Linked DNA regions of Rattus norvegicus. The protein of the gene in region 1 interacts with the protein of each later gene in a biochemical or structural test. Links are inferred from orthologs where the notes say so. Each region holds a gene or a part of one and is shown in the gene's direction. Other genes may lie near its edges.

The links.
Region 2: of the proteins of Bmp1 (region 1) and Chrd, one has a biochemical effect on the other in vitro, tested with the Homo sapiens proteins (3 studies listed by BioGRID and IntAct). The link is inferred for Rattus norvegicus from reciprocal best matches to the Homo sapiens genes BMP1 and CHRD.

Annotation. Positions count from the first base shown.
Region 1 is NC_086033.1:51,967,331-51,982,053, reverse strand, and holds part of Bmp1 (bone morphogenetic protein 1 precursor), read left to right. Parts: intron 1-899; coding exon 900-1,002; intron 1,003-3,177; coding exon 3,178-3,294; intron 3,295-3,493; coding exon 3,494-3,639; intron 3,640-3,777; coding exon 3,778-3,973; intron 3,974-4,601; coding exon 4,602-4,727; intron 4,728-5,335; coding exon 5,336-5,496; intron 5,497-5,844; coding exon 5,845-6,025; intron 6,026-7,444; coding exon of another isoform or gene 7,445-7,515; exon of another isoform or gene 7,516-7,564; intron 7,565-8,875; coding exon of another isoform or gene 8,876-8,961; exon of another isoform or gene 8,962-9,199; intron 9,200-9,534; coding exon 9,535-9,660; intron 9,661-14,723. UniProt on the Homo sapiens protein: Metalloprotease that plays key roles in regulating the formation of the extracellular matrix (ECM) via processing of various precursor proteins into mature functional enzymes or structural proteins.
Region 2 is NC_086029.1:93,671,438-93,686,844, reverse strand, and holds Chrd (chordin precursor), read left to right. Parts: upstream 1-1,744; 5' UTR 1,745-1,765; coding exon 1,766-1,913; intron 1,914-2,035; exon of another isoform or gene 2,036-2,083; coding exon of another isoform or gene 2,084-2,149; coding exon 2,150-2,253; intron 2,254-2,639; coding exon 2,640-2,769; intron 2,770-2,906; coding exon 2,907-3,035; intron 3,036-3,119; coding exon 3,120-3,219; intron 3,220-3,318; coding exon 3,319-3,406; intron 3,407-3,747; coding exon 3,748-3,889; intron 3,890-4,004; coding exon 4,005-4,133; intron 4,134-4,219; coding exon 4,220-4,302; intron 4,303-4,379; coding exon 4,380-4,527; intron 4,528-4,671; coding exon 4,672-4,778; intron 4,779-4,898; coding exon 4,899-5,018; coding exon of another isoform or gene 5,019-5,077; intron 5,078-5,536; coding exon 5,537-5,693; exon of another isoform or gene 5,694-5,969; intron 5,970-5,979; coding exon 5,980-6,200; intron 6,201-6,998; coding exon 6,999-7,112; intron 7,113-7,349; coding exon 7,350-7,613; intron 7,614-7,700; coding exon 7,701-7,794; coding exon of another isoform or gene 7,795-7,819; and 14 more. Other genes in the region: Rpl12l2 (large ribosomal subunit protein uL11-like), read right to left, coding at 12,632-13,234. UniProt on the Homo sapiens protein: Dorsalizing factor. Key developmental protein that dorsalizes early vertebrate embryonic tissues by binding to ventralizing TGF-beta family bone morphogenetic proteins (BMPs) and sequestering them in latent complexes.

The DNA of each region.
Region 1 (14,723 bases):
CCAGGCTGACCTCATACTCACAGAGATCCTCCTGCCTCTGCCTCTCCAGTTCTGGGAGTAAAGACATGTGCTACCATGCCCATCTCTAAAGTAAAATCTTTTTTAAAAAGTTCTTGGCCTTGGTTATGGAGCCTTGAGACTTACCGAAGGGCTGTGGGCATTGTCAGGTTGATAATGTGATTCTTTCTGTCTCCAGGGAATACCGTGGGGTCAGAGGCTATCACATGAGCTGGCTGACACTGAAGTTGTGTGGCTGACCCTAGGATTTAGAGGAAATACAGGGCTGATTCAAAGCCAGGCCCTTGGGCTGGGGTTTACATTTTTTTCTGTACAGTCTTCATACTTATGTAATCTCATTCACATGCTTCATAAGGACAGATATGTATGTTAAACCCATTTCCCCAGAGGGACTGTGACCTGACATTAGTTCCCTGTAGACACCATGCTCCTTCTGGGAATCAGAGCCCAATGAGTTTGTATGATTGGTGTCTCAACTTCTGTTCTGGCCTTTCCTTCCCATCTCAGACCCGCCCCCCCCACTCCACACACCCTCACACCATTCTGGGCCCTTCCTGGCCCTGCCCTCTTCCTAAGGACATCACTATTTATATTGACTGTGAGGAAGCAAGACTGGTTATTTAAGTCAGCACAGTAGCCCTCTACTCAGGTGGGGAGTGCAAGGCAGTGGAAGCCCTGAGCCCTTGTGGATGTTTGGTAGTGGGAATAGTGGACAGGTGTTTTTAGTTAGTCTGGTGAGGGCCATGTGGGAACAATGCTGGCCATGGCTGGTGATGGTTAACTTTCCCACCAGCTAGGCAGTGGGCATGTGCCTGACCCCAGGGGCAGGAAGAGTGGGAGCCATGTAACCTTCTCTCCTCACCCCTCATTTCTTCCCCTAGATTATTCTGAACTTCACATCTATGGACCTGTACCGTAGCCGCCTGTGCTGGTATGACTATGTGGAGGTGCGGGATGGCTTCTGGAGAAAGGCGCCCCTCCGAGGTAAAGGGCATTGGCTCCTGAGCTCCCTCAGTCCCCTGGTTCTTTGTTGGAACATGCTGGGACCCAATACTCTAGGTGGGGTGACATCCTGATATGAGACCTACAAGCTCTGATATAGTTTGTCCCAGTAGTCCCAACACTAGCTAGTGCTGTGACAGTGGGCGAGTCCTGTGTGTGACACACTCAGGTCTTAGTGCCAGCTCTGGGGCTACCCTCCAGAGCTGTTCTTTCACTATGAGGATTTGGGAGTCAAAGGAGTATACAAACGTGCCTGGCAGGCTGCTCTTCGCATCCCGTAGTTCCAGGCTCACACCCTCACTGGGCTTTCCTTGATCTATAAGGTCTAATTTTGGGGTGTCCATGATATGGCCTGGCTTTTAACCTGCTATAGACCCTTTTTAACCCTTAACTCACCTTAATAACTATAGGCCTGGAACATTGGCCTGGCACTGTTTGTACATGGCATTTGTCACTAATTGTGTGTGTGTTTGCACGTCTGTGTACATGTGCGTGCATACACACATATGAAGTGAGTGGGATAAAGATCGCTCAAAGCCACGGGACAATGCAAGGCAGAGTAGTGTTGTACTTCTAATTCTGGGGAGGCCAAAGGTAGAAGGATCCTGAGCTAGAGGATAGCCTGGGCTATATAGCAAGGTCCTATCTTAACCACAACACAATCTAAAGCACCATTGGATATAGAGGCAGGTCAGTGGACACAGAATTAGAGCAAAGGGGACATCTGCATCAAGCTTGAGGTGTTGTGCGACATTGTTCATTGTGTTGTCTGTAGCCGGAAGTGATTCGGGCTGCCTACCCCCTCAGCACCTTTGTCCCTCATCTGGGGGAAGCAGCCACATGCTTTCGGTTGATTACTCCCCACTTCTGCTTCTGACATTCTAGTGGACCTGTTAGTCACCCAGAGCGACTGGCATTGAATCTCCTCTGCAATGTGTTAGGTCTCTGAGATTACGATTTCGTTCTCATAACTGACATCCCTAGGCCAGCACCCACCTTCTGTCCCTTGCTTGAAATATGAGAGAACACTCTGTCTTTCAGGAGCACACAAGTCATCCCCAATCAACTCTTGACTGCAAAGAATTTTACAGATGGCCAGCCTCAACCTTTGTGTTGATTCTTAATGAGTTTTACTTGAGCAGAATTGCTTTCTGGCCCTGTCCTCAGATTCTGGAGTTTGGGGTTCCAAAAAGCATTCCCTGAATTTGACCCAGTGTTGGCATGCTCGGAAGAGCAGGCTATGACATTATATGTAGAGAAAACTGTCTATTTGTTGGTATCAGGTATTTGTTGGTATCAGGAATTGCTTTCACACTATTTCTCTCTTGTTGCTTCTTTACATGGAGATCTCATATAGATCAGTAGTGATAGTAGCTTCACTTTAGAAAGGTCAGGAATGCTGGGCAGTGGTGGCAAATGCCTTTAATCCCAGCACTCAGGAGTAAGGCAGGTCTCCATGAGTTCGAGACCAGCCTGGACTACAGACTGAGTTCCAAGACAGCCAGGGCTACACATAGAAACTCTGTCTTGAAAAACCAAAACAAACAAACAAAAAAACAAAAAATAGGTCAATAAAACTTTAATCCAGGACTTTGGAGGCTGAGACCAAAAGTTCAAGGCTAGGGTCTGGACAGTAGCTCATCTGGTAGAGTACCTGCCAAACATGCACAAAGTCATGCTTCAGTTCACTCACTTGGGCCTATAATCTCAGCACTGGGGAGGCTGAGGCCTTGAACTTTTGATTCAAGGCTAGCCTGGCCTAAATAGTGAGACCTCGTTCAATTCCCAGCAACCACATGGTGGCTCACAATCATCTGTGACGGGATCCGATGCCCTCTTCTGGTGAGTCTGGAGACAGCCACAGTGTACTCACATACATAAGATAAATACACAATTAAAAAAAAAAAAAAAAAAAAAAGACAAACAACAAGGGTTTCCAAAACACAAACCCCTCAAAATATCAACGATGAAAAGCAAGTCAGTAAAACACCCATGTTCTGCAGCTCCTGCCCTGTCTCAAGGGGTTTCTGGTTCTTGTGGTGATCATAAGAATAGGCACAGTAGGGGCTGCAGACTGGAGCACCGAGCCTCCCAGAAAGTTGGGGCTTACATGAGGAGACCTGGGACTCAAGCGTCATCTGTCTTCATTGTCTGCAGGCCGGTTCTGTGGGGGGAAACTCCCCGAGCCCATTGTCTCCACCGACAGCCGCCTCTGGGTGGAATTCCGAAGCAGCAGCAATTGGGTTGGAAAGGGCTTCTTTGCTGTCTACGAAGGTACTGAGGGAGAGGAAGGGGGCCCTGGGACATTCCAGAACCACTCCCTCCTGTTGGTTCTCCAGCAGGGTTAGCGGGTGGGAAACGGGGATGGGGTATGCTGGAAGAGTGGGGAAGGGGCACTTAGGCAGGGCCTGGCCTGCTGACCACCATTATCCCGTGCTCCATCTCACTACCACCCCATCCTGGGTTCCCATAGCCATTTGCGGTGGTGACGTGAAAAAGGATAACGGTCACATCCAGTCACCCAATTACCCCGACGATTACCGGCCCAGCAAAGTCTGCATCTGGCGGATCCAGGTGTCTGAGGGTTTCCACGTGGGCCTCACGTTCCAGTCCTTTGAGGTAGCCTGGCACAGACCCTTCGAATCCACCCTACAATGCTTATGTTGGTTTCCAGGACAGTCTGCTTTCCTGAAGGCTCTGGGGATGGGGATCCTGGAAAGCAGAACTCCTTTCCCTGATAGAGCCCCTGCCTCCTAGATCGAGCGTCACGACAGTTGTGCCTACGACTACCTGGAGGTCCGAGATGGGCACAGTGAGAGCAGCAACCTCATTGGGCGATATTGTGGGTATGAGAAGCCTGATGACATCAAAAGCACATCTAGTCGGCTCTGGCTCAAGTTCGTCTCCGATGGGTCCATTAACAAAGCTGGCTTTGCAGTCAACTTTTTCAAAGGTACTTCCTCTCCTGTCCCACATTCTCCTTCTGTGGATGCTCAGTGCCTTGTCTCGTTATTCTTCATTCATTCCATGTGAAGACTCCATGACAGAGATGCAGGTACATGGATACTGTTAAAACACTGTGGATAAATACTACCAAAGGTCAAAGTTCATCCCCGTGAGGAGTGGGACTTGTGGAGGGAATGATCAAGACAGAGGGAGGATGTTTTTAAACTTATGTGGTCTAGGACACACTATTTCCCCAAGCCACAATTCTTCACCTATACAGTGGGTATAACAGCTGCCCCATACTTGGTGTCATGAAGTGAATAAAGGAGAAACGAGAGGGTGGTACTTTGGCGGGACTAGTACATAGGAGGTGTTGGTAGCTGCCAGTTAGCCTGAAAGCTCAGAAGAAGGTTCTGTAGAATTTCCTTGTGGGTTCTCAGCAGCCACGGGAATATGGGAATACAGGAATAAGGGCTAAACAGGCAAGTGAGGCTTTTAGTTCACTCCTCCCTGCAACATGGGGAGAGAGGTCATAGGAACCCTGAACCTCTGGGCTTGAACCTCAAGCTCAGTGCAGGAGGAAGGAGCAAAGTCCAGCCTGTGGTTGGTGACACCCCTTTCTTTCTTTCTCACAGAGGTAGATGAGTGTTCAAGGCCCAACCGCGGGGGCTGTGAGCAGCGGTGCCTAAACACCCTGGGCAGCTACAAGTGCAGCTGTGACCCCGGCTATGAGCTGGCCCCAGACAAGCGTCGGTGTGAAGGTGAGTGTCCCACTATCCCAGGACTATTGGGCTCTTTCCTGTGTCCTCAGTCAATCATATCGGGACAGGCTGGAAAAGTTCTCTAGTGCCATTCCCAGTCACGAAGGAGAAAGGTGTCCTATATGTCAGCCCCCAGAACATTGTCAGAGTGTGATACACACTGGCATTAGGGGCATTTACTCTGACTCCTTTGTTAATACTGATCTTAATCTGGTGATTGATGTCACCATCTTCCAAAGGGTCATGATCCACCGTTCAGATGCCACTGTTTGCAGAGAGTCTAAGCCTGTATGCTATGCTAGTGTATGCTTCAGGATAGCAGTTCCAGATCAGGCTGGTCTTACTGCCTTTGACCAATGCCTCTGGCTGCCTCCCAGGACTGCCCATTTATACATTCACCAGGCCCCTCTGTGTCCCCTCCCAGCAGATTCCTGGCCCATCTTCCAGAAGAGGTAGTAGAAATGACCATGTATGCAGCCCCTTTTGATCTTAGAATCTGGGCTCCCAGGCCTCCGACTTGTGGGCCCATAGACTCCCATCTCCCCCTGACTGCTGCTCAGCCTCACGTCCCTTTCTGGTGGATGATGCTACCTCGCTTGTCCCTCCAGCTGCCTGCGGTGGATTCCTCACCAAGCTCAATGGCTCCATCACCAGCCCCGGTTGGCCCAAAGAGTACCCTCCCAACAAAAACTGCATCTGGCAGTTGGTGGCCCCCACCCAGTACCGTATCTCCCTGCAATTTGACTTCTTCGAGACTGAGGGCAATGATGTAAGTGCCTCTGAAGCCAAGGTGGGTAGGAAGGTGTGGGGTGTAGGAGCTTGGCTCAGTGCCTGCCTTCCACCATTGGGAGAATTAGATACTAGGCTCGGAGAACAGAGACTTTCCAGTACATGGAAGCTTGGAGGGTGTGCAGGGCCATGAAGGAGCTTCTGCAGATGAGGATGGGCATTGGTTGGAAGCCTGTGGAATGAGGAAGGGCTTGGGGCCAGCTGCCCTGGGGCTCTGTGATGCAGTTTTGTTGGGAGAACAGACGCTGAGCCTGACAGTTTCCCAGTGAGTGAGTAGTCATGAGAGAGGCTTCCTGGAGGCAGCATCCAGAGCTGGGCTCTCTGGCAGGTGTGCAAGTATGATTTCGTGGAGGTGCGCAGCGGACTCACAGCCGACTCTAAACTACATGGCAAGTTCTGTGGCTCCGAGAAACCAGAGGTCATCACTTCCCAGTACAACAACATGCGTGTGGAGTTCAAGTCTGACAATACTGTGTCCAAAAAGGGCTTCAAGGCCCACTTCTTCTCAGGTAACCCTGGGTCCCTTGCTCTAGCCCTGCCTCCGACAGATGGAGCCCTCTTGCCTTCCCTGGTCTCCTAAGCCCCCTATCTCCCCAACTTATTATCCTCCATCAGTACAGCCCCTGGGGCACCTGAATATCTTTATTGGGAAGCCCTGAAAACCTTAGTTATGCTGGGCCTAGGGAGGGGCAGAGCATTTAAGGGCAGAAATGAGGAGGCTGGCAAGCCAAGGCCTGAAAGGGGAGGCCCTAGGACAGGGGTTCAGTTGCCTGAGAACACGGAATGGAGTAGAAGGAGGTGTCGTGGACTGTGTGGGGTAGTCCATCTTGCAGCAGCTGCAATTCTAATCAGGCCCCGCCCACCCAGCCCACTGGGTTCATGCCAGGCCTTCCCACAAGAGAAGTCCTCTCTGCCCTTTAGTAACAAAACTACCCGTTCCCCTGCCCGTGGAAGGCCTGGCTTCATCCACCCTTAAGCTTTATTTGGCCCTTTTGCAGCCCCTCTCTGTGTGGTCCAAACCCAGCCGTCCCAAGCTGGACCTCTGGGGTCCTGGGAGACCTCTCCCCTGTTCTAGGAATCCCTAAGTCTTTGGCCCTCAGGTCAGTGTGAGGAAAGGAGCAAAAGGGCCCAGACCCAGCAGTGAATGGTAGGAACACTCTACGGTGGGGTGTGGACAGAACAGGAAGCCAGTGGGCAGGCTGGAGGAGCAGGTGGCTTGTGGAAGGGTGGGTTAGGGACCTTCAGCCTGACTTTTCCTGGTGGGGTGGACATAGGGTGGGCAGGCCCAGGAAGCCCATGACTTCATCCACGCTGCCTCCCTTCTCCCCTCCTTACCCAGGGTCCCGCATCCTTCAGCCCCCTATGTGGCTGCCCTGCACCCTTGCCTGTCCCACCTGGATGCCATGCACCTGTCCCCGTGCACTGGTTCCCTGCTTGGCACTGCCAGCTCTCCTGCTCTGCTTAACATGCTCTGTTGAGCTATTGCCCCCAGTCCCCTGCCCCATTGCTTGCTGAGACCTTCTCCATGTAACACCAAGCCTGCCCATCCTTTCCTAGGCCCACTTAGACAAAAAAAAAAATGCTTTCCAGAGGGCTGAGGGCATAGAATATCTGCCAGGCTGGGCTTCTCATAGAAACCATTACCTGCTTACTCTTGTCTGTCTCTGCCCTTCTGCTACTCCAGTCTTGGAGAGGATGTGGGGGTACCCATGTTTGTTTGGAGTCACTGCCCTGTCTCCCCACCCTTTACATAGCACTCAACACTGTACGAGATATGTACACGCATGTACACGTGCTCACACCATATGTATACACACATGCATGCATATATATGCATTGCCCCTTGCACAAGAAACCTGCAGAGGACCCTCATCAATGGGCATCAGAGTTCAGCCTCAGGGCCTGGGGCATGTGACTCTGACCCCCAGGAGGGGGCTGTGTGGACTTTTGGGACACCCATCGAGGAGACCCTAAGACAAGAAGGAGAAGCAGAGCCTGAAGACCTTCAGTCTGACCCCAGCACCTCCGGGGCATTTGGGCACTGTAGGGTGAGTGCCATCTCCTTGTTGGGGTCTGTGCCACCTCCCTTGCCCTGATCCCCTGCAATGTCTTCTTCAGTCACAGAATGGACCGTCCACATTTCCGGGTGTGCCAGAGTCCCCTCCTAGATGTGCAGGCAGCCATTCACAGAACTGACATCCCCACACATTACTTCAGTCTTTCACGTACCCATCCACTCATTGGCTTAACAGTTTTCTTTTACCCCACCTGTGTCCCAAGCACTGGACTAGGTATTTGGGGAGCATATATGAAGAAGGCATGAGGGTCCAAATATGCTTGGGAAGCCATGGCTTACTTTGTGAGCTGAGCTCCCTGGACTTCTATCAGAGTCCCAGGAGAGGCACCCCACACACCTCAGGGTATGTCTCACAGACAGGCATAATGTTAACTCCCATGGTCAGGCTCTGATAGCCAGAGAAAGAAGTTTTGGGAAGGGAATTGACAACTCTACCTCTTAGACACACGCTCCTGTGGACTCTTGATGGGTCTAGCCCACCTGAGCATGAGAAATAGGGCCTTCTAGGAGTCAGTGCTGCAGTCCCCAGGCTCCAGTCCTTAGGCTAGATTAGGAACAGTGTCCACTTCCCACAAACCTGCGTGGACAGTGGAATGCCTGCAGCCGTCTTTCCACTTTGTGGCTCATCTCTGGAATTCTGGGTGTAATTGGGATCTACACACTTGTCCTGAGTGCCTGCTTCTGTGCCAGGCAATGGACTTAGAACAATGGTGTGGCACACAAGCCTGTAACTGTGTGCTTGTGTATGTGCTTGTGTGTGTGTGTGTGTGTGTGTGTGTGTGTGATGCCTGACCTGTGTACATGTCTATCGGTGTTTCAACGTTTGTACAACAGTTCTTTTATGCACAGGGCTGTGTTTATGGTTGTGTTCCTGGGTGTGTATGTCTGTGTCTCACAAACTCTGTAGGCAGCTGTCTGAAGGAGGGTGAGCAGAGCTTTTACATAGCCCTTCCCACCACTCCCCTCTCCCAGCGACTCTGAGCTTCTCTTCCCCCATGTGCACTCCTCGGAAGTGTGCCATCCCTCCAGCCCTTCTCCTTGCCACAGGCTCAGTCTTGTTCCTTGTTGCTGTGCCTCCTGCTAACCCAGCTGTAGTGACATGGCCGTCCTGCATGTGGGTCTGCCTGCCCCTCCGCCCCACTCTTCTCTGTCCACCTGTCTGGAGACCCTGGGTCTAGTTTTTATTGATTGCCCTCCCTGGTTCCTGCCCTCCCTCCACCCCCTTCATCCCCTCCACCCCCACTCCTTTGTCCCTTTTCTCCTTCTCTCTCTCTCATTTCAGAAAAGAGGCCAGCTCTGCAGCCCCCTCGGGGACGCCCCCATCAGCTCAAATTCCGAGTGCAGAAAAGAAACCGGACCCCCCAATGAGGCCTGCCAGGCCCCCAGACCCTTCATTACTCAGGAAGCTCACCTCGGACGGAGTGGGCTGGGGGCTTTGGAGCCCCACCTACTCCCTGCCTCCACTCTGCCATTCCGGCCGCCTCCTTAGGCTGGACAGAACTGGTGCTCTCCTCTCCCCCCGCCCCCTCCCATTTTGATGGTGTCTGTGACATTTCCTGTTGTGAAGTAAAAGAGGGACCCCTGCGTCCTGCTCCTTTCTCTTGCAGTCTGCTTGTCCCTGTGTCTGTTTTTCCACTTGTCCGTCTGTCCAGTAAGCAGGTAATGGTAGAGGTCCCCATGCTGGTCAGCTCCAGACCCCAGCCCTCCCTCCACCCACTTCTGCCCACCTCTAACTTCTCTGCCCAGAAAGGAGGCCCACCCAGTTGGCCCCACTGGTGCAGTGACCAGAGCGCCATCATCACCCTGACCTTCCACTCTGTACCCAGTCCCCCTGCGAGAGCACTCCCTCCCACAGGAGGAATCCCCGCCAGGCCTCCCATGTCCCCTGGGGTGAGCAGACCTCAGCCCACATAGACCCATTGCTCTTGTTTGTGTCTACAGACAAGGATGAATGTTCCAAGGACAATGGTGGCTGCCAGCAAGACTGCGTGAACACATTTGGCAGCTACGAGTGTCAGTGTCGCAGCGGCTTTGTCCTTCACGACAACAAACATGACTGTAAGGAAGGTAAGACCTGCATAGAGGGCGAGGAGGATGGAGAGGGTGACCACAGCTGGCCAGGCGCCTCACAGTGTCCAGAGATGACCCCCATGCAGATGTCTCCATCCGGAGCGAAGGAACCTGGTACCTCCTGTGTGGCGCTCCGACCACCCTTCACTGTGGTACCCAGGTCACATGCACAGGTGCTCTCCCCTTGTCCACATCAGGAGAAGAGTCCACAGGTGCTGAAGGTCCTTTTCTATGCTCTTAAAGCCTGAGTCTAGGCTGGGTGTGGAGCAAGCCTTTAATCCTAGCACTCGGGTAGATGGATCTCTGTAAGTTCGAGGCCAACCTGGTCTACAGAGTCAGTCCCAGGATACCTAGGGCTATACAGAGAAACCCTATCTTGAAATCCTCTCCCGCCAAACAAAAAACAAAAAGCAAAACAAAAATCCCTGAATCCAAGATTTTCTGTTTGTTATGGTCATAATTTAGCAGCTGAGAATACTGATTCTGAAGCTAGGTGGCCTGGCCTGGATCTGTCACTTGGGTAATGTGTGCCCTCGAGTGGCCGGCTTATTCACCGTGTAGCTGTGGAAGATGGAGGTAGGTCAGAAGTTTTGGAGCAGTTCCAGTCACACAGCTAAGTGTATGGCCGTCGCGCTGGGACTCCAAGCAGGGCTGCCACTCTCAGTCCTGAATATACATGATAGGCACTCAACCTGGCTATTCAAATCCAGAATGTCCTAAAAATCTGAAGCTGTTTGAACTGTCTGTATCATGATGCTGCAAGTAGGAAATTCTACCCCTGACCTTATGTGATTGGTTGTAATCAAATCACAGGCGCACTAAAAATACTATGGAAAATACCTTCAGGGACTGGCAAGATGGCTCAGCCTGAGTTCATCCCTACAAACCTGCATAAATGTGGAAGCCAACTCTACAGAGCTGTCCTCTGGCTTCCACATGATGATGATGATGATGATGATGATGATTTTTTTTTTAAGGATTCTTTTATTTTTAATTAGGGGAGGGGGCATGTGTGTGCACATGAGTGCAGTTACCAGTGGAGGCCAGAAGAGGGCATTGGATTCTCCTGAGGCTGGGACCGTGATGTGGGTCCTGGGAGCTGAACTTTGACCCTCTGAAAGAGCAGTATGTGTTCTAAACCACTGAGCCATCTCTTCAGCCCCAAGTTTTACAATTTAAGAAATGGTCTTTGGGCCATGTTTGTAGGGTATATATGAAGCGTGATTGAATTTAGTTGCGGTTGAGTTCCATCCTTATAGCTGATTACCTACTCTTCTCTCGTACAAACGCTCCTGGTCCCAAGCATTTTGTGTAAGGTATACTCAGACTGTTAAAAGGCATCTACCCTCACAACACACAAAGCACCCAGTGCCTCTTCGGACAGGATACAACAGTGTTCTGACTCCTAAATTCTGTGCCCTGTACCGGCTTGAGCAAGTGCAATCCCAACAGCCTAACACTGCCTCTACCACTGAACGTGTGGCTTGAGGGTGAGTCATTTAACCCCTTGGAGCTTGTTCCTTCATTCATTGCACGATAAACAGTAAGACCCTGCCCTTCCAAGGGCGGAACTGTATTGCTATCATTATTCTGCTCAGAGATAGTCCCTAACAAATGGCTCTTAGCTGTCATTGAGTGAACAGCCCAGGTGAAAATAAAGATGCTTCTGAGCAGAGTTCAGAGGACGGAAGCACCCCCTGGAGAAGCTGTGTGACGTTGAGAGCTTCCACCGGGCGCCGAGGGTGCCTGGGTACTGAACTTCTGACTCCCTGAGCACCTGCTGCCCTCAGCTAGCTGAACCCAGTCCTCTGCTTTTCCAAACCACATTCTCCAACAGTTTAGATAGAAAGGGATGGAGCTTGCTCCTCAGTTCACCTTCTGGCACACCTAGAAACACTCCCAATTCCTCCCTTGGAGGTGGGCTAATGCCAGATCAGGCCTCATGCTTGGCTCCCATGGAGAAATTGATTCTGCTGAAGGTTCTTTTGGGGAATGTGCGCAGAAATGGCACCCAGCCTGAGAAGAGATATAAGCATATATGGGAAGCAGAGCAGGAATGCTGGCGTGGAGGTAGGGTGGGCAGAGGGGCCACCAGAAGCTGCAGGTGAGTGATGGGGACAGCTCCCACACAACAACAAAGAGGCAGGTTCTACACACACACACACACACACACACACACACAGAGAGAGAGAGAGAGAAAGAGAGAGAGAGAGAGAGAGAGAAAGAGAAAGAGAAAGAGAAAGAGAGAGAGTGTGTGTTGAGGACTCAAGAGTTAGATGAACCTTGACCCTGGCTGGTCTCAGTGTGTAGCCTGTGTCTACCTGTCTCTTTTCCCTTGACAGCTCCACCACGCAGTAACTGGTTGCCTTCTGTATTAGCAACCTTTTATCACCCAAAAAACTATCTGAAGAAAACAACGTAAAGAGGGGAACTTGTATCTTGGTTCGGGAAGGGTTTGGTCCATAGTTCTTAGGTTCCATCACTTTGGACTTCAGGCAAAGCCAAAATCATGGCAGGTAGTTCATGCTGGAGCAAGGAGCAAAGCTGCTTAACTTATGGTGACCCAGAAGGGTGTGGGGGAGCAGAGAGACAGAAAGAGGCAGCAGTGACCAGGACCAAGGTATGGACCATTCAAGAACACATCCTTAGAGGGGCATTCTTCCTCCAGGCCTTCTACATGACTTCTGTATAACTCAACAGTCTGTTCAGTTATAAACCCTCCAGTGGAGTAAGCCGTTGATGAGATCAGATACCTCATGATCCAGTGACAGTACAAGAGGCATATTGCTGCCCTGGGGACAAAAATCTTTATCTCTTGAGTGTATAGGGGACATTTTAGATCTAAATCACACACTGGTCTTTTGCTTTGTTTTGGGATGGGGTCTCACACCATAGTCTAGGCTAGCCTTCACCTGACTTTGCAGCCAGCAGTAGCATCAGCTTTTTTTTTTTTTTTTCCGGAGCTGGGGACCGAACCCAGGGCCTTGCGCTTCCTAGGCAAGCGCTCTAACACTGAGCTAAATCCCCAACCAGCATCAGCTTTTAAATGTGCATTTGGGAGGCCATGTTTTGTGTGAAATTCGAGTTGCTATAAATAGAGGAGGTGTAGGTGATGATGGTGTGGTGGTGACCAGATACCTGGGAGACCAGCTGGGAAAAAGGAGCAAGAGACATGGGAGACTGACTTCAGGAGCTCACGGGCTCCAGAACTGGGAGAAGGTGGTCCTCTTTGTGTGTTTCCTGGCTACTGGCAGCAATGAACCCCAGCTTCCAAAAGGGCGGTCCATTTCCACAGGGAGGCATTACATTTTCTCAGAGGCACCAGGAAGGAGAGTCAAGAAGAGCTCCTATCTGAGGGCCTCGTTTCTTCAAGCATCAGGAGGGTGACTGGTCTGCTGCTGGGAGGGACAGTAGATTGAGCGGGTTGGAGGACTGGGACAGTTGCTGGTAGATGGGTTTGGTAAGGGACAAATGTAATGAGGATCTAATGATCTGGAGGCCCTGGAGAGGCAGGACGCCACAAATGTTCTTTCTATCTTTCTAGTTGTTTATTTATTTTGTATGTGTATGTGTATGTGTTCGTGTGTGTGTGTGTGTGTGTGTGTGTGTGTGTGTGTGTGTGTGTGTGTAGGATTTGCATGTGAATGACACAGGTTGACATTAGGAGTCTCCCTCAATTACTCTTCACTATATTTTTTGAGATAGAGTCTTTCACTGAGCCTGGGGCCCAGTGATTTGGCTGGACTCGATAGCTCCAGGGATCCTCCCGTCCCTGCCTCACTGGTGCTGAGATTTTAGTTGTGTGGTATCACATCTGGCTTTTATGTGTGTGCTGGGGGTTGACCTCTGGCATTCGTTTTTGTCTGGTGAGCACTTGTTTGTTTGTTTTTAGCTTTCTGAGACAGAGTTTCTCTGTGTGGCTGTGGCTGTCCTGGAATTCTCTCTGTAAACTGGGCTTGGCCTTGAACTCAGAGATCCACTTGCTTCTGCCTCCCGAGTGCTGGAATCAAAGGTGTGTGCCACCAATGCCTGGCTCATAAGCACTTTTTTGACTTTTCCATCTCTCTAGAATCCTCCTCTTGTTTATTTGTGCATTTGCTTTGATTGGAGATTGAACTTAGGGCCTTACACATCTTGGGCGAGTGTTCTGCCTCTGAGCTCCATTCTCCTTTTGTTCTTTATTTTGAAGGAAAGTCTTGCTGAATTGCCTGATCTGGTCTTTAACTTACTCTACAGCTGAACCTGTGGTCCTTCTGCCTTGGCCTCCCTTGTAGCCGGAATTATGGCACATGTCACCAGGTCCAGCTGAATGGGGTTTCTAGTCTGTCAGCATTCTGGTGACCAGCCATGTCATCTGGCTGCTGAGGACAGCCAACTGGTCTATACTATGGTGGAAGACAGACTTCTAGGTGATGGGTCCATGACCTGAATTCAAGCGACCTCCATCTGAAAACACAGTTAGTCCCCCAATCATCTGTATTAATGTTGCACAGATTTTTTTTTCTTGTCATTATTCCTCAAACAGTGCTGTGTGTTGCTGGATGTGGTGGTACACATCTGTAACCTCAGGGCTCAGGAGCCAAAGGGATTATGAATTCAAGCCTTATGTGGGCTATGTAGAAAGACCCTATCTAAACAAACAAATGAAAAAAATCCATTTACATTATGTTAAATATGATCTAAGGACCTCCAACATTTAAAGTGCACAGGGTGGGTGGCGGATGTAGCTCGAAGTTCTTCCCCAGCATGTACAGTGCCCTGGGTTTGCTTACCAGAGCCATATAGACTGGCCACGAGAGCCACATGCTGATAATCCCAGCAGGTAGGGGATGGAGGCAGGGGCTTAGATGTTCAAGAACATTTGAAGCTATGTGAGACCTGTGGGGTCGGGAGAGGGAGGACGAGAGAGAGGGAGGGAAAGAGAAAGCAATTATAGTAAGGTAAGCGTGGGGGTCTCTGCAACTATTACACCATTTTATAGAGACTTGAGCATTATGAATTTTGATAGTTGGGAGAAGTTCTAGATCAAATCCCTTGTGGATACTTAGGGACCTCTAAGC
Region 2 (15,407 bases), on another chromosome or scaffold:
TGTGTTCCCTTCCATATTCCCCTGCTCCAGAGGAGTGTCTTTCCTGGTATTTCCCCTTTCCAACTGGCAATGTAGGGATTGCCTATATGAGAGAATGATCATGTTACAGGAAACAGGGTTTGGACGATATGTGGGACCTGGGGAGTGAAGGGATATGCGTTTGGTTAAGACTGAGCCCAGAGCACCTCTTTAATCTCAGCACTTGGGAGGCAGAGGCAGGTGGATCTCAGGAAGTTTGAGGCTAGCCTGGCCTACCTAGTGAGCTACAGGCCAGCCAGGGCTACATAATGAGAACCTGTTTCAAAATGAGAGACAGACAAATAGATTGACTGGGCTTAGGTACCCTTCTTTCTCCTGGAGGTACAGGGACCTGGAGAGCTCAGCTCTGTGGGCAAGCCTGCCGTTGATTGCTCAATGGTCCCCTTCCAGTCCTACCATTATACATGTGATGAGAGAAATAACCAGGCCCATCTGTTCCTGTCTTAGGAAAGACAGCTGCCGAGCCTCCCCCACAAATACCTCTTTGCTGGCTCCTCTCTCTCTTCCTTTGGCCCTGGCTCTAGCTCCTGTGCTTTCTCCTCAGTCCCTGTCTCCCCACAGTCTGTCCTCTGGGACCCTGGGGCCTGACCCTGCCCTCTCTCCCTTGTTCTTCCTCAGGCTTTCTCCCGTGCCTCCTCTGAGGATGGACTGTCTATTAAGGAGTATGGCCCAGATCCCAGAATTCTCCAGTTGAATAAGAGATACCTCCTAAGATTAGGAAGCCTGATGCTGGGATAGCGGGAAGTGGTGGGGGTAGGAGAGGATGGGGAGGCTTGTCTAGAAAAGCAGGACGAAGGAGGTGGGGAATGACCTGGAGAGGAATAAGGTCCTCCCTCAGATGAAGGAAAACCACCAGTCAGAGGTGATAGATGATACAGTTGGATGGACTTGGGGACAGGTTGGGGTGGTGGTGGAATACGAGTCCACTCGTGGGGAAGCACTGCTTGATTCTGGGAAGCGCAAGCTAGGTTCCTGACCCTGGGAACTGAAGGAAGAGGAGAGACCTCAGAAGGGAAATAGGAATACAGCCAGAGTGAAAGGAAGGAGGTGCTGTGGGTCCTAGGTAGGGGAGGATCGGTATCCTTTTCAAAGACGAGCCCTCATCCTACAGCGGCCCATCCGGCTCACCACTGGTACAGGCCCGAGGCTCAGCCTCTACCCTTCACTAGCCCGAGGCTCTGGTCTTGGGATGGACACCACCTCCAGGGGTGGCCGCAAGGAGTGTGTGTGGGGGTGTCGAGGCCCGCCTCTCCTCCCCCTCTTTGCGCCCCCTGGTTCCTCCCTTCCCCCTACTCACTCCGCTCCCCCCTCCTCCAGTCCCTCCCTCCTCCCCTGCCGGGTCCCAGCCTGTCCCCCTCCCCCACTCGCGATCCGGCCGCTGCTGCTGGGCCGGACCCCCCGGGCTCAGCCGGGCTCCTTGTGGAGCCGCCGCCGCGCCCCGTTTGCTGAAGAGGAGGCCCCGGGCCGGGACGCCTGGCGCGGGCATAAAACGGGCCAGAGCCGGCGCCTAGGGCACTAGAGTGGCGTACGGCCCGGGTCAGCGCCCCTCCGCCCGCTCTCTCCCGCCCCGCCCGGCCGGGAGCGGACTAGGCGACTGCGAGACGAGCCCCTCGCCACTGCCCCCCTCCTGGCCCCGGCCCCCTCTTGCCGGCCCGCCTCCGGTCCGGCCCTACTCCCTCTCCTGCTCCCTCCTCCCGCCCGCCTCCCCAGCTGTCTGCTCCGCGTCATGCCGAGCCTCCCGGCCCCGCCGGCCCCTCGGCTGCTCCTCGGGCTGCTGCTGCTCGGCTCGCGGCCGGCCGGTGGCACTGGCCCTGAGGCCCCCGCACTGCCCATCCGTTCCGAGAAGGAGCCACTGCCTGTCCGGGGAGCGGCAGGTAGGTGGGCGCCAGGGGGAGACGCGGGAGGGGAGAGTCTGGCTCGGGCAAGTCTACATCCACAGGGAGAGGGCCCCGGGCGCAGGTGGCTTCGCGCAGCGGGAGGGTGGGTGGGGAAAGCAGAGGCGGCGAGGTGCGCGGTGCCAGGGGACCAAGGGCCTGGTGGGCAGAGCCCGGAGTAGGCATTACGGCAGGAGCAACCGGACAGCGGCCGCCAGCCAAGCCCGTCCCCGCAGGCTGCTCCTTCGGCGGGAAGGTCTATGCCTTGGACGAGACGTGGCACCCGGACCTGGGGGAGCCTTTTGGGGTGATGCGCTGTGTGCTGTGCGCCTGCGAAGCGGTGAGTGGATATCGCAGCTGCTCGTCCTACCCTAGAGGGTAGCGGAACGCTGGCGTCCTATGCCGTAGTAGACTCAGAGATGCTCTGGGGAAGGCTGGTTCGCAAATCAGAGGAAACCCCTTTCAAGTCTGCGGTGTTGACAGTTATTGATCGCCCACAATGTGACTGGCTTTTAGCCAACTTTCCCCCTCCCGTTACAGCTTTGCTAGATAAATGGCATTATTAGCTCTACTTTGCAGACAGGGACGCCAACGCTAGAGGAGTTAAGAAACTTGTCCAGGGCCATGTAACTTGTAAATAGCAGAGTCGACCGACTCCAGCAGAGTGTCTAACCCTGGGGTCTGATGGTTGCATTCTCTTAATTTTCCTATGTTCTCTGCCATCAGCCTCAGTGGGCTCGCCGTGGGAGGGGCCCTGGCAGGGTCAGCTGCAAGAACATCAAACCTCAGTGCCCCACCCTGGCCTGCAGGCAGCCGCGCCAGCTGCCAGGACACTGCTGCCAGACCTGCCCGCAGGGTGAGGCCGCTGTGCCCCGAGTTAGGGAGGGTGGAAGGCTCTAACACTAGGTCCTGTGCCGCTTGGATCGCGGAGGAGGAGTGGTCCTCCTTGTACCTTGCTGAAGCCGGTGGTCTCATTCCTTATCCCGGATGCAGAGCGCAGCAATCTAGATCCACAGCCGGCTGGCCTGGTCTTCGAGTATCCAAGGGACCCAGAGCATCGCAGTTATAGCGATCGAGGGGAACCCGGCACTGGGGAGCGGACACGTGGTGATGGCCACACGGGTAGGCTGGGACGGAGGTGGGCCTGATGAAATTTGAGTTCCCAGCAAGGCTGACAGTGCTCAGGACAATCTTTTCTTCTCGAAGACTTTGTGGCGTTGCTGACTGGACCGAGGACGCAGGCGGTAGCTCGTGCTCGAGTCTCTTTGCTGCGCTCAAGTTTACGCTTCTCTATCTCCTACCAGCGGTGAGACAAGGGAAAGGGGAAAGACCAGGAGTTGTAAAGGGGGCAAGAAAGAGGAGCCTGTAGGTTATAGATCCAGTCTCACTGGACCTCTCTTCACAGGCTGGACCGTCCCAGCAGGGTTCGGTTCACAGACCCCACAGGCAACATCCTGTTTGAACACCCTGCTGCCCCCACCCAAGATGGCCTGGTGAGATGATGCCATTTAAGAGTGCTTATCCAAAACGGGCACTTGCCGAGAGCATGCTTTGCATTGCCTCCTTTGGTTCTCACAACAGCCCAGTGGGAGAAAGGCCCTGACATTATGATGCCCATTTTACAGAGGAGGGAACTGAGGCTCAGAATAGCAGAATGTGATTTGTTCAAGGTCATTGGCTAGTAAGTGGTAAGCCAGGACTTAACATTAAGGCTCCTGGGTCCTTCTTAGAGGGTCTGGGGTCCCCCTTCCATACTCCTTCCTCATTAGGCCTGGGTCTTTTAGCTGGCTTGTTCTGCATACTTACGGTAGACTTTCTTCCCTCTTCTCTCTAGGTCTGTGGGGTGTGGCGGGCAGTGCCTCGGCTGTCTGTGAGGCTCCTGAGGGCAGAGCAGCTGCGTGTTGCCCTTGTGACACCCACTCACCCTTCAGAAGAAGTCTGGGGGCCTCTCATTTGGCAGGGTGCTCTCACTGCAGGTAGGGGGGGGGAGTGAGCAGTTCTTAGATGTCAAGAGCTGCACCTTCAATAGCCCAGGGGTCGGTGGACTGAAGAGAGGATTTCTCATGGCTGTCATGGTCCTCCACTCCCCAGAGACCTTCAGTGCCATCCTGACCCTGGAGGACCCACTGCAGCGGGGTGTCGGGGGCATAGCCCTGCTCACTCTCAGTGACACAGAAGATGCCTTACATTTTTTGCTGCTCTTCCGGGGTCTGCTGGGAGGTGAGTAATGGGGAAGATGTACGTACATGAGGGTGTTAGGGAGGGTGCTCACCTCTCAGAAATGCTCACACAAGCGGCACTTGCAGGACTAGCTCACGTCCCCTTGAAGCTTCAGATTCTCCACCAGGGACAGCTACTTCGAGAGCTCCAGGCCAATGCCTCAGCTCAGGTAAGGGAAGGCCTGCATCTCGTTGCTACTTCCTCTGACCTCTTGCTGTTGCCCACCACATTCTGCTCTGCTCACAGGAGCCAGGTTTTGCTGAGGTGCTGCCCAGCCTTACAGACCAAGAGATGGACTGGTTGGTGCTGGGGGAGCTGCAGATGGTCCTAGAGAAGATGGGTGGGCCAGAGCTACGCATCAGCGGGTATATCACGACCAGGCAGAGCTGTGATGGTGAGGAAGGGCGGGGCCTGGCACTGTGGTACAAGTAACTCAGAGGCACGAACATGTGCTAAAGAAGAGGCCAAATAGATACGAGAGAGTTCTTGGGGACCTGGGTGTGGGCAAACCTGTTGCCACCTGTCTTGTCCCCTGCAGTCCTTCAAAGCGTCCTCTGTGGGGCTGATGCCTTGATCCCAGTCCAGACGGGTGCTGCTGGCTCAGCCAGCTTCATACTGCTAGGAAATGGCTCCCTTATCTATCAGGTAAAAGTCAGCAGCTGTAGGGGACAGGGAGGCCAGCAGGGCAGGGCCTTGACCTGCAGGGGGAAAGGCCCTAGGTCTTGGCTGTCAATCCAATTGCCCTCCCCCAACCTTGCCCACCAGGTACAAGTGATAGGTACAGGTAGCGAGGTGGTGGCCATGACGCTGGAGACCAAGCCTCAGCGGAAGAACCAGCGCACTGTCCTGTGCCACATGGCTGGACTCCAGCTGGGAGGACACATGGTGAGGGCTCCAGGCAGAGTTGTGCCAGGGCTGCCAAAACATGGGCTGCGGGAAGCCAGGTTGGTTGAGCAGAGGTGTGTAGTACTGTTCACCCGCTCGTTGGTTCTCTCGGCGAGTCCTTTGTTCATTTGACACGTTTTAGTAAGCCTTAGGCTGGAACCCTTGTTCTCGGCAAGCTAACAGTTAAATAGGGAGCGCCACTCCTGGGAACAGCGAGATAGCCTGTGCGATAGTACTAACCGTGCCTTTGGTGTCTTTCTGTCAGGCATGAATGTGGTTGGCTTCTTTATGTACCGTGACTTTCGCAGTACCCTTTGATAGATGCGAAGCGAAGGCTCGCAGACGAGTAACTCTTCAAGGGTTGTGGTGTGTCTAGGATGTGGCACAGGAGGGCCTTGACACTCGACCTGCAAAGTTCTTGTCCAGTGTTGAGGAAGGATACATGTGCAGTGCAGGCATAAAACATGGAAAGCCCTTGGACCTGAAAGTGAGAGGGGTCATCCTTTTCTGACTCCTAGGCTGTGGGTGTCTGCTCTGGGCTGGGTGCCCGAGGGGCTCACATGCTGCTACAGAATGAGTTGTTCCTGAATATTGGTACCAAGGACTTCCCAGACGGAGAGCTTCGGGGGCACGTGACTGCCCTATGCTACAGCGGGCACAGTGCCCACTACGACAGTGAGTGCCTCACGGTCTACCTGCCTTTCTGCGTCCTCTGAACTTCCATCCGAGCATCTAAAGAATTAGCCAGAGAACCAGAGCCTCCTGTGTCCTGCTCTGTCTGATCTCTGGTTGGCATTTAGAGAGGTGGGGATGCATAGGCTGATGCTGTTGCCCAACCCTCCCTGTTGTCCTTGTGCAAGGAATCTAAGACTTGCTGCTCCCCAGGCCCTAGGTCTGTGGTAGGGTAGAATGGGATTAAGAGCACAATCTCATGTGTCATCTTGCATCTGTTTGGACTTAGGATTGCCTGTGCCTCTGGCAGGGGCACTAGTACTGCCCCCTGTGCGGAGTCAGGCAGCAGGACATGCCTGGCTGTCCTTGGATACACATTGCCACTTACACTATGAGGTTCTATTGGCTGGGCTTGGTGGCTCAGAGCAAGGAACTGTCACTGCTCATCTCCTCGGGCCTCCTGGGATGCCAGGGCCCCAGCGACTGCTGAAGGGATTCTATGGCTCAGAGGTAAGAGCATGGAGAGAGGAGGAAGCTTGGAAAATTTCTGCTGTTTTAGCTTGGAGGGCTGTGTGGGCTGTGGTTGTGGCAGAGAGGACAGGCATGGCCATGGGTGTCCGACAGGCCTAGGTGTAAATCTGACTCAGCCTTTACTATGCATTTTCTCTTGTGTCCTCTGTCCTAAACGATTCTCAGGATAGAGGTCCCAAGCCATTGAGGAGTAGGTAGGGGCTGGAGAGATGGCTCAGTGGTTAAGAGCACTGATTGCTCTTCCAGAGGTCCTGAGTTCAAATCCCAGCAAACACATGGTGGCTCACAACCATCTGCAATGAGATCTAATGCCCTCTTCTGGTGTGTTTGAAGATAGCTACTGTGTACTTGTATATAATGAATAAATAAATCTTTAAAAAACAAAAAAAGAAGTAGGTAGGATGGACCACAGCACTCTTTAGTGCTGCTCTAGACTGGTAGTCAGAGAGACCTAGCCTCAAGGCTATTCTCCCTTGAGAAAAGGCCTTAATCACTTGGGTCTGTTTCTTTACCTGAAAATTGGAGACCAGGGGCTTAGTCCCAAAGTGCACCGTGGGGCTGGAGAGGTGGCTCAGTAATGTGGCTGCCCTTCTGGAGGACCCATTTCAGGTCCTAGCACCCACTTGGTAGCCCATAACCATCTGTAACTCCAGTTGTAGGGGATCCAATGCCCTCTTCTGGCCTCTACCGGCACCAGGCAAAAATACTAGCACACATAAGTAAAATGATGTAAGTAAAAAGCGCTTTGTTTCTGCTCTGTGCGTGATCTGTCTGCAGGCTCAGGGTGTGGTAAAAGATCTAGAGCCCGTGCTGCTGCGGCACCTGACACAGGGCACCGCCTCCCTGCTTATCACCACCAAGAGTAACCCTAGAGGAGAGCTACGCGGGCAGGTATGTGAGGATGGTGCAGCTGCTCGTACTTTCTGATCTCTAAGGTGGTAGTGTTCAATTCTTGTCAGTGATTAAGTATGAAGCCACACAGCTGCATACCACCCCGGCTTTGCAGCTGGGATGAGTCCTGAAGGGAAGGGAAGAGTCTCCTCCTGGGCACTTCTGTCAACAGCCAACAGTGGTTGACAGAGACAGGAAGGAGAACCCCAGCCAGCCCCAGCTTCCTTCTCTGCCCAGGTGCACATTGCCAGTCAGTGTGAGGTGGGAGGCCTGCGCCTGGCCTCAGAAGGAGTGCGGATGTCCTTGGCTCCAAATGGAGAGGCAGCTACATCACCCATGCTGCCTGCTGGGCCCGGCCCTGAAGCCCCCGTACCAGCCAAACACGGCAGCTCTGGGAGACCCCGAGATCCTAACACATGTTTCTTCGAGGGGCAGCAGCGTCCCCACGGGGCTCGCTGGGCACCCAACTATGACCCACTCTGCTCCCTCTGCACCTGCCAGGTAGGATGGCTGGGTAACATACTGTTGGCTACAGGGTCTGGGGCAAGGGGCCCGACATACCTTCAAAGCCTTGGCCCCTCTCTACAGAGACGGACAGTGATCTGTGATCCTGTAGTATGCCCACCACCAAGCTGTCCCCACCCGGTGCAGGCACTGGACCAGTGCTGTCCCGTGTGTCCAGGTGAATGTCCTGCAGGGGAGGAAAGGTAGAGGAGGGGTATCCATGGGAAAGGAGTGTTCTAGGGAGGGAAGCAGGGACCACCCTCTGCCTCACCCTTTCTTTGCCTTCACAGAGAAACAACGCAGTAGAGACCTTCCCAGCCTACCAAATCTGGAGCCAGGAGAGGGTAAGTGAGGGTGGTGTATCCAGGGATGGGAAGATCCAAAGAAGCCATTGGGTTGGAGCAAGAGGGCAACAGAGTTTGTGTACAGGGGAGGCTGAGGTGTACTAACTCGAAGCGTATCTGGTAGTCATCTTTAGTGTCTATTGGCTCTTGGCTTAGGCTAGTGTGGACCTAGTTGGTAAGACCAATCCTAATGGCAGCTGGGGACTCTTCCCTACCAGGCTGCTATTTTGATGGTGACCGGAGCTGGAGGGCAGCGGGTACCCGATGGCACCCCGTTGTGCCCCCCTTTGGCCTAATTAAGTGTGCTGTCTGCACCTGCAAGGTATGGCTGCCTGATCTTCTCTGGGATAGTAACCCAGTCAGTCGGGTGTGCAGATAGAGGTTGGGGCTTCCTTGATGAGGAGGTCTCAGGATGGTATTGCGAGGGGCAGTCCCTTGGCTTTTGAGAACAGCTTTCCTGTCGGAGGGGGTAAAAAGCTGACAGGTCCAAGTGTTGGCTGTGCCAGCTGACTGGGTTCACATGGCCTTCGGTGATGACTTCTGAACTTTCCCCAAGCTCCCCATTCCTCCTGTGTGTGCAAATATGGCAATCTATGTATGATACAATGAGGATTGGATTCAGATACAGGGCAAACTCAGGCCTCTGAGCACTGACCCACACATATATCTGACTTGAGGTGGGGGAAGGAGAGGAAAAGCAGTGTGAAGTTTGCCTGACACCCTCTCTTAATGGGTGCCTACAGGGGGCCACCGGAGAGGTGCACTGTGAGAAGGTGCAGTGTCCTCGCCTCGCCTGTGCTCAGCCTGTCCGTGCCAACCCCACCGACTGCTGCAAACAGTGCCCAGGTGAGAGCCTGGTCATTGAGGCCTCACTCTTGGGGTTGGGTAGGCCCTGACCTGTGTTTGGGGGAGGAGTGCATGATGGGGATTGAAAGGAGTTTCTCAGATACTTCTCAGTCACTGAGCACTGCTTATGTCCACCCGGAGCTAGTGCCTTAAAAACAGTGGGAAGGACATGCATTTATGCTGTGAGGTGGTTGGGGTTCCAGTTCTATCAACCTAGCTGTCCATCTATCCATCCATCTATCCATCCATCCATCCATCCATCCATCCACCCATAGTCATTTATCTACTCCATCTGTAATCCATCCATTTATTCACTCATTCATCCCCCACCTATCCATCTACATTATCACGTATCAAGAACCAGAAACTACTAGGCAACAGGAATCCAAAACGAAGTTAAAGCTATTTGACCCTTATGGTTTAATTTTGTCTTTTCTTTCCCCAGTAGGGTCAGGGACTCATGCCAAGCTGGGAGACCCCATGCAGGCTGATGGGCCTCGGGGTTGTCGCTTTGCTGGGCAGTGGTTCCCAGAGAATCAGAGCTGGCACCCATCAGTGCCCCCCTTTGGGGAGATGAGCTGTATTACCTGCAGATGTGGGGTGAGTGAGGGACTTGTGTGATGTGGGCAGCAGTGCCTGGCCTAGGGTAGGGAAATCTTCTCAGGGAGAGTCCTGGAGGTGGCTTTTCCTGAAGAGGCTGAGGACTACAGTGTCCTGTGAGGAACCTCAGTATCTCTCCATCCTGCACCAGGCAGGGGTACCCCACTGTGAGCGGGACGATTGCTCGCCGCCACTATCCTGCGGCTCAGGGAAGGAGAGTCGATGCTGTTCCCACTGTACAGCCCAAAGGTGTAAGTGAAGGAAGCAGTGATGGCCGTGGGTCGGCCGGATGACCCTGGGAGGGGAGGCTGCCCCATGGAGGTAGGAATTATGAGTCTGGTTCATAAGTGCAACCCCAGCCCACCTCTTCAGGCTTCTCACTTACTGTCATTTCTTTACAAATGGGACTGCTGAAGCTCAGAGGAATTAGGCAATTCAGGTGGTGTATGCTGCCTTGCTTGGACAATTTGGTCCTTTCTGGGACTGGAGCAGAGATGTTCTGCCTGCCCTCCCATCCCCCCATGTCTTCCTCCAGGCCACCCTGTTCCCTATCTCCTTCAACATTCACTCCCTTCTGTCTTCACCAGCCTCTGAGACTAGAACCCTTCCCGAGCTGGAGAAAGAAGCTCAACGCTCCTAGGAAGCATCCAGAAGCACATGACCAAGAGGATGGGCCTGAACTGGGAGAAGGAGTGGTGCTGAGGACCCTGATTCTCCTGCGGGAACCCAGTGCCTTCCGTGCCTCTGTTCTGCTTCTTCTCCTCCCCCACTACCTCTGGGAACCACGATTCTACAAGGGGAAAGACTGCTGGGTCAGACCAAGGCCATATCCACGCGAACTCCTGCCCTGTTTTCTTTTGGCCTCTGTCCCAGAAGCTTAACTCTTTTCTTCTGTACAAAACACCACCGGCTTATTGGGATTCTTTAATTTATCCTCACTCAGCACTAAGGGTTCCCTCACACCATTCCTGCTGCCCCTGAGCTGAGCAGAGTCATTATTAGAGATTTTTGTATTTATTAAAACATCTTTTTTTTTTCAGCCTTTGGGTTTGAGGTAGGCTCTCTGTGGCCAGGGCCATGAGTGGGCGCCAGTAGAGTGAGATCTAACAGACCTAAATAAGAGAGGAGCCCTGGGCCCCAGAGTCTTTCTGACCTGGGAGCTCGAAGGGGCTTAGGGAATGGGATGGCTAGTTGGACGGCATATCTAGGTTCCATAAAGAGGATTGGGACTGTTCACAAAAGGGGGTAGAGCGGCAAGAGCCCTGGTAGCCTCAAGTTGAGTTACCCGTAGCTGGCATTCTTGCTGACGATGTCCGTTCATGCCAGAATGAAACCAAAGTGCTCCCAGTCTCTATTTTTTTTTTCTTTGTCTAAAGCAAGTTACACATTTTCTTCCCTGAAACGTTGTTCGTTGACCAGGTAAGGGCAATCCTATATTCACATTGAACTGGGATCAGCCCTGATTTAGTTAAGACCAAGCTCATCATGAGAAAAAGTGCTATGGTGGGCAGAATAGCAGGAGACCCCCTCCCCTTGTCTTTTCCCATCTCCCCTCATCCCTGCTGGTTCCCAGGAACCAGACATTTCTTCAGGCCCCATGGCTCTAGAGAAACAAGGGCAATATGTTAGAAATCACACACACACACACACATACACACACACACACACACACACACACACACACTTATAAATAATGCCAGATAAATCTGATAGTGTGGAGGCCTGCTGTTCACTTTAGGCCTTCCTGTTGAAAGTGTAGCCAACAGTCACCATCTTGGCCTTTTAAGGCTCCAGGTCTATGTGGTTCTGCAGTTACTTCACCGAGATGCTCACTCCCATGTGTCCTGCTTCCTTTGTGGAAAACAGGTTGCATCACAGGAAGCAACCATGGCCCATTCACTGCGCAGCCTGGCACCTGGCCAGTGTTTATTAGGAAAAGCACTCTGCTTACTGTGGAATTTCTGGAGCGTGGCTGCTATGAGGGTGGCAATGGGTTTTGTTGCATTTGCCAGGATGTATGTGGAGGAGCTCGGCTGTGAACTTCGTGGCAGTGACGGGGATAGCTGGTCAGGGCTAGCCTTTACTGTCGTACTAAGAGGTGCAGACAGGGATGAACCAGGGATGAGGGCCAGATAGGGTTGAGAAGGCAAAAGGAGCCAGAATGGGTTCCCACATTGGCAGAGCATGAGGTGTGCCATGGTGGGAGATAAGGTTTTACCCACCATACTGTCCTTAGCAGGGAGGGAGCTATGAGCTAGGTAAGGATGACCCTTAGGCAGCTTGGTGACAGGGCTCATCCTTGACTTTAGCTTCAGAGCCCCAGAAGGGCTTTAGAGCAGACTCTAAGTGTCAGCAGAGCAAATGTGTGAACAGAATGGGCCAGGCAGGAGCCCCTGGAATACCTTTCCCATCCTAGACAGCATTTCAGCCGAAGCCAGACAGTCCTAGGTTCTTCCCTTAATAGGAGAAGTGGGATAATGACCTATGAAACCAGTCCTGTGTGTGGTCTCTTCAAAGTCCTTTATCCAGAGACCTCAAGAGGGCACCCCATGCACTCCCCTTTAATCCGCTAGAGGCAACAGGGAGCAAAACTAAAAGCAACAACAACAGCCAAACAACAAAACAAAACAAAAGAACAAGAAACCTAAAACAACAAAAACCACGGAGAGGTGATTTTCTTGGGCAGGGTCACAATGTCTTTGAACACTCATTAGTATAACATCATATGGTCCCTTAAGCTAGGGCCAGGAAGGCCTTCCACACTCTTAAGGGTTTGACTGGACTCCCGAATTCTCCAGCACTAGACAGGGAGCACACAGGCTGTTGGATAGACGAGGTGGTTTTGATAATCCTTGCTTTTCAAAGAGAAAACTCATGTATAGTTCTACTCTGCCGCGTTCTATTTGAACTCCAGTGACATTCTTTATTACTTTACATTTTTTAAATATGCAGAACCCGGATCTTGGCACATCAGGCCACAGACAGCCACTGTTCTGGGACTTCGTTAATGGTGGGGCTGCGGCTAAGTTGCCTGTGAATCATTTATGGCAGTGACTAAGAAGGTCCATTTTCTTTTTTTCTTTTTTATCAGATAGTCTTTTTTTTTCTTTTTTTCGGAGCTGGGGACCGAACCCAGGGCCTTGCGCTTGCCTAGCAAGCGCTCTACTGCTGAGCTAAATCCCCAACCCCAGATAGTCTTTTATTTAAATATTTTCTTGTTGCTTCTTAACTAGCTGGGCACTCCACCGCACCGCTGTTGATGTCATGAGGGTGGCGGCCATCCACATTGCAGCCCACAGACTGTGCAGTACCCAGGATCTCCTTGATAGTTCCAGAAAGTTCTCTGGCCAAAGACTGGTGTCTCATCTGCCCTGCAATGTTGACAATCTCATCAAAAGTGATGTTTCCACTGTGTTTAATGTTTTTCTGCTTCTTCCTGTCTCTTGGTGGCTCCTTGAGGGCTTTGATGATCAGGGCAGAGGCAGAGGGCACCACCTCAATCTGGGCCTGTCTGTTCTGGATGGTCAGTTTCACTGTAATCCTGAGGCCTTTCCAGTCACCGGTAGTCTTGGCGATGTCATCACCAACTTTTTTGGGAGACAGACGCAGAGGACCGATCTTAGGGGCCAAGGCGGATGTGGCGCGGACCTCGTCTCTGGTGCACCTCAAGTACACGACTTTGATCTCGTTGGGCGGCATGGCGGAGGTGGCTGGTGTCGGATGAACCTGGATTCGGGACGACTGAAGAAAGTTGCACCATTGCCTCCTCCGAACCGAAAGCCGAAAAGCCCATTTCAAACTGTAGTTATGGATGTCTGAAAGTGTCATTGATTGATCAACACGGAGGGAGGGGTAGACATATGGGGATCCAGGGGCCCAGGGTGACCGCTCTCCTTTGAAGACAGGCACTCAGCCATTAGCAAAGCCTGCACTCCAAAGATGGGTTGGTTTGTCTTAAAAACTTTTTGAAGTAACTGATGGCATCTTGCTCCTTAGTCTTTTGTAAAAAGAATGGAAAGTAGAAAAAAACAAAGGCAAGCCGGTCATGGGAGTACGGTGCAGGTCTGTAATCCCAGTGCTTGGGGGTAGAGGCAGGAGGATCAGGCACTTGAGGCTGTCTTGGTGCACAGTGGGTTCAGGGTAGTCTGGGCTACTATGACCATGTCTGAATACAGCAGAACAAGAACACAGAAGCAGGTGACACAAGGACAGAGGCAAGAAGAAGAAGTCATCTCATAATCGCAGAGTGGAAGTGTTTGTCTGAGGGTTTGAAGGCATTTCAACCTGATAGCTTTGAGGCCACAAGAGACCTTGTATGAAGAAGCACGTAGAATACACAGACTAAGAATGGGCTGCTGGAGACAGTGTTACAGGTGGCAAAAGGGAGGTCTGTTAGGACCTATAGCATGATCAGAGAGCTCTGAGAATGGAGCCCCTACGCATGGGTGTTTTCACTACACAGTAGGCACCAAGGTTGCTACTGCTCATCATAAGGAGAGCTCACTATGGGCTGGGGAGATGGCTCAGTGGTTAAGAACACTGACTGTTCTTCCAGAGCTCCTGAGTTCAATTCCCAGAAACCGCATGGTGGCTCACAACCATTTGTAATGAGGTCTGATGCCCTCTTCTGGTCTGTCTGGAACAGCTCACTGTGCATCTGTATCACTGTGATAACGAAGGTAGTTCTCCCGGGGTGAAGCTCATCCCTTGCCCTCCGGATGTGCTGACTACTGGGGCTTCCCCAGTGAGAGAAACTTGACTGTACAGTTTGTGGTAGTGGGGGTGTTCACACCCTCTCCTTTAAAAATCGTTGTGAATAATTATAATAAAATAACATTTATAAAAGCTATAAAATAATTATAAACACAAATGTGTAAGAAAGAAGTATTACTCCAAACCACAATACCAGCTGTCTGGAAGAAAATAAAAACAAAACTAAAACCGCTGTTTTTGGGGGCCAATGAGATGGCTCAGTGGGTGAAGACACTTGCTATGCAGACCTGACTTTCATTTCCAGGACCCACACAGCGGAAGGAGAGAACTGACTCCACAAAGTTGCCCTCTGGTTTCTTTTTTTTCTTTTCTTTTCTTTTTCTTTTCTTTTTTTTTTTGGAGCTGAGGACCGAACCCAGGGCCTTGCGCTTGCCAGGCAAGCGCTCTACCACTGAGCTAAATCCCCAACCCCTTTGCTCTCTGGTTTCTTTTATTTATTTATTTATTTATTTATTTATTTATTTATTTATTCATTCATTCATTCATTTATTTATTATAAGTACACTATAGCTGTCTTCAGACACACCAGAAGAGGGCATCGGATCTCTTTACAGATGGTTGTGAGCCACCATGTGGTTGGTGGGATTTGAACTCAGGACCTCTGGAAGAGCAGTCGGGGCTCTTAACCACTGAGCCATCTCTCCAGCCCCTGCTCTCTGGTTTCTTGTTGTGGCTCTCTTCCATGCACGCGTGTACACATGCCCATGTACATGCACACATACAAGTTCACACACACAAGTTCACACACCAAGCACACATACACACACACACACACACACACACACACACACACACACACATAGATACAGGTATTTACACATAAGCACTCACACACACATACACACATAAGCACACACATGTAGTCTACTACATCTACTACTGCTGAAGTTAAACATTATTATTATTATTATTATTATTTTTTTTTTTTTCGTTCTTTTTTTCGGAGCTGGGGACCGAACCCAGGGCCTTGCGCTTCCTAGGTAAGCGCTCTACCACTGAGCTAAATCCCCAGCCCCTATTATTTTTTTTAAATCAGTGCTTATTTAACGTTTCAGTTAAAACATCTAGTTGTCTGACCTCACTCTCTCAGTCCCTGTCCTAACAGCCTTCTGGTCCTCACTTGTGAGGAAGCTGTCAAACACCTGGCCAGGCACAAAACCTGGAAGCTGGAAGAAGTCTTCATGTGACGGTCTCAGAGAGAGCATGGCAAATTGGCTTTCAGTTTGCA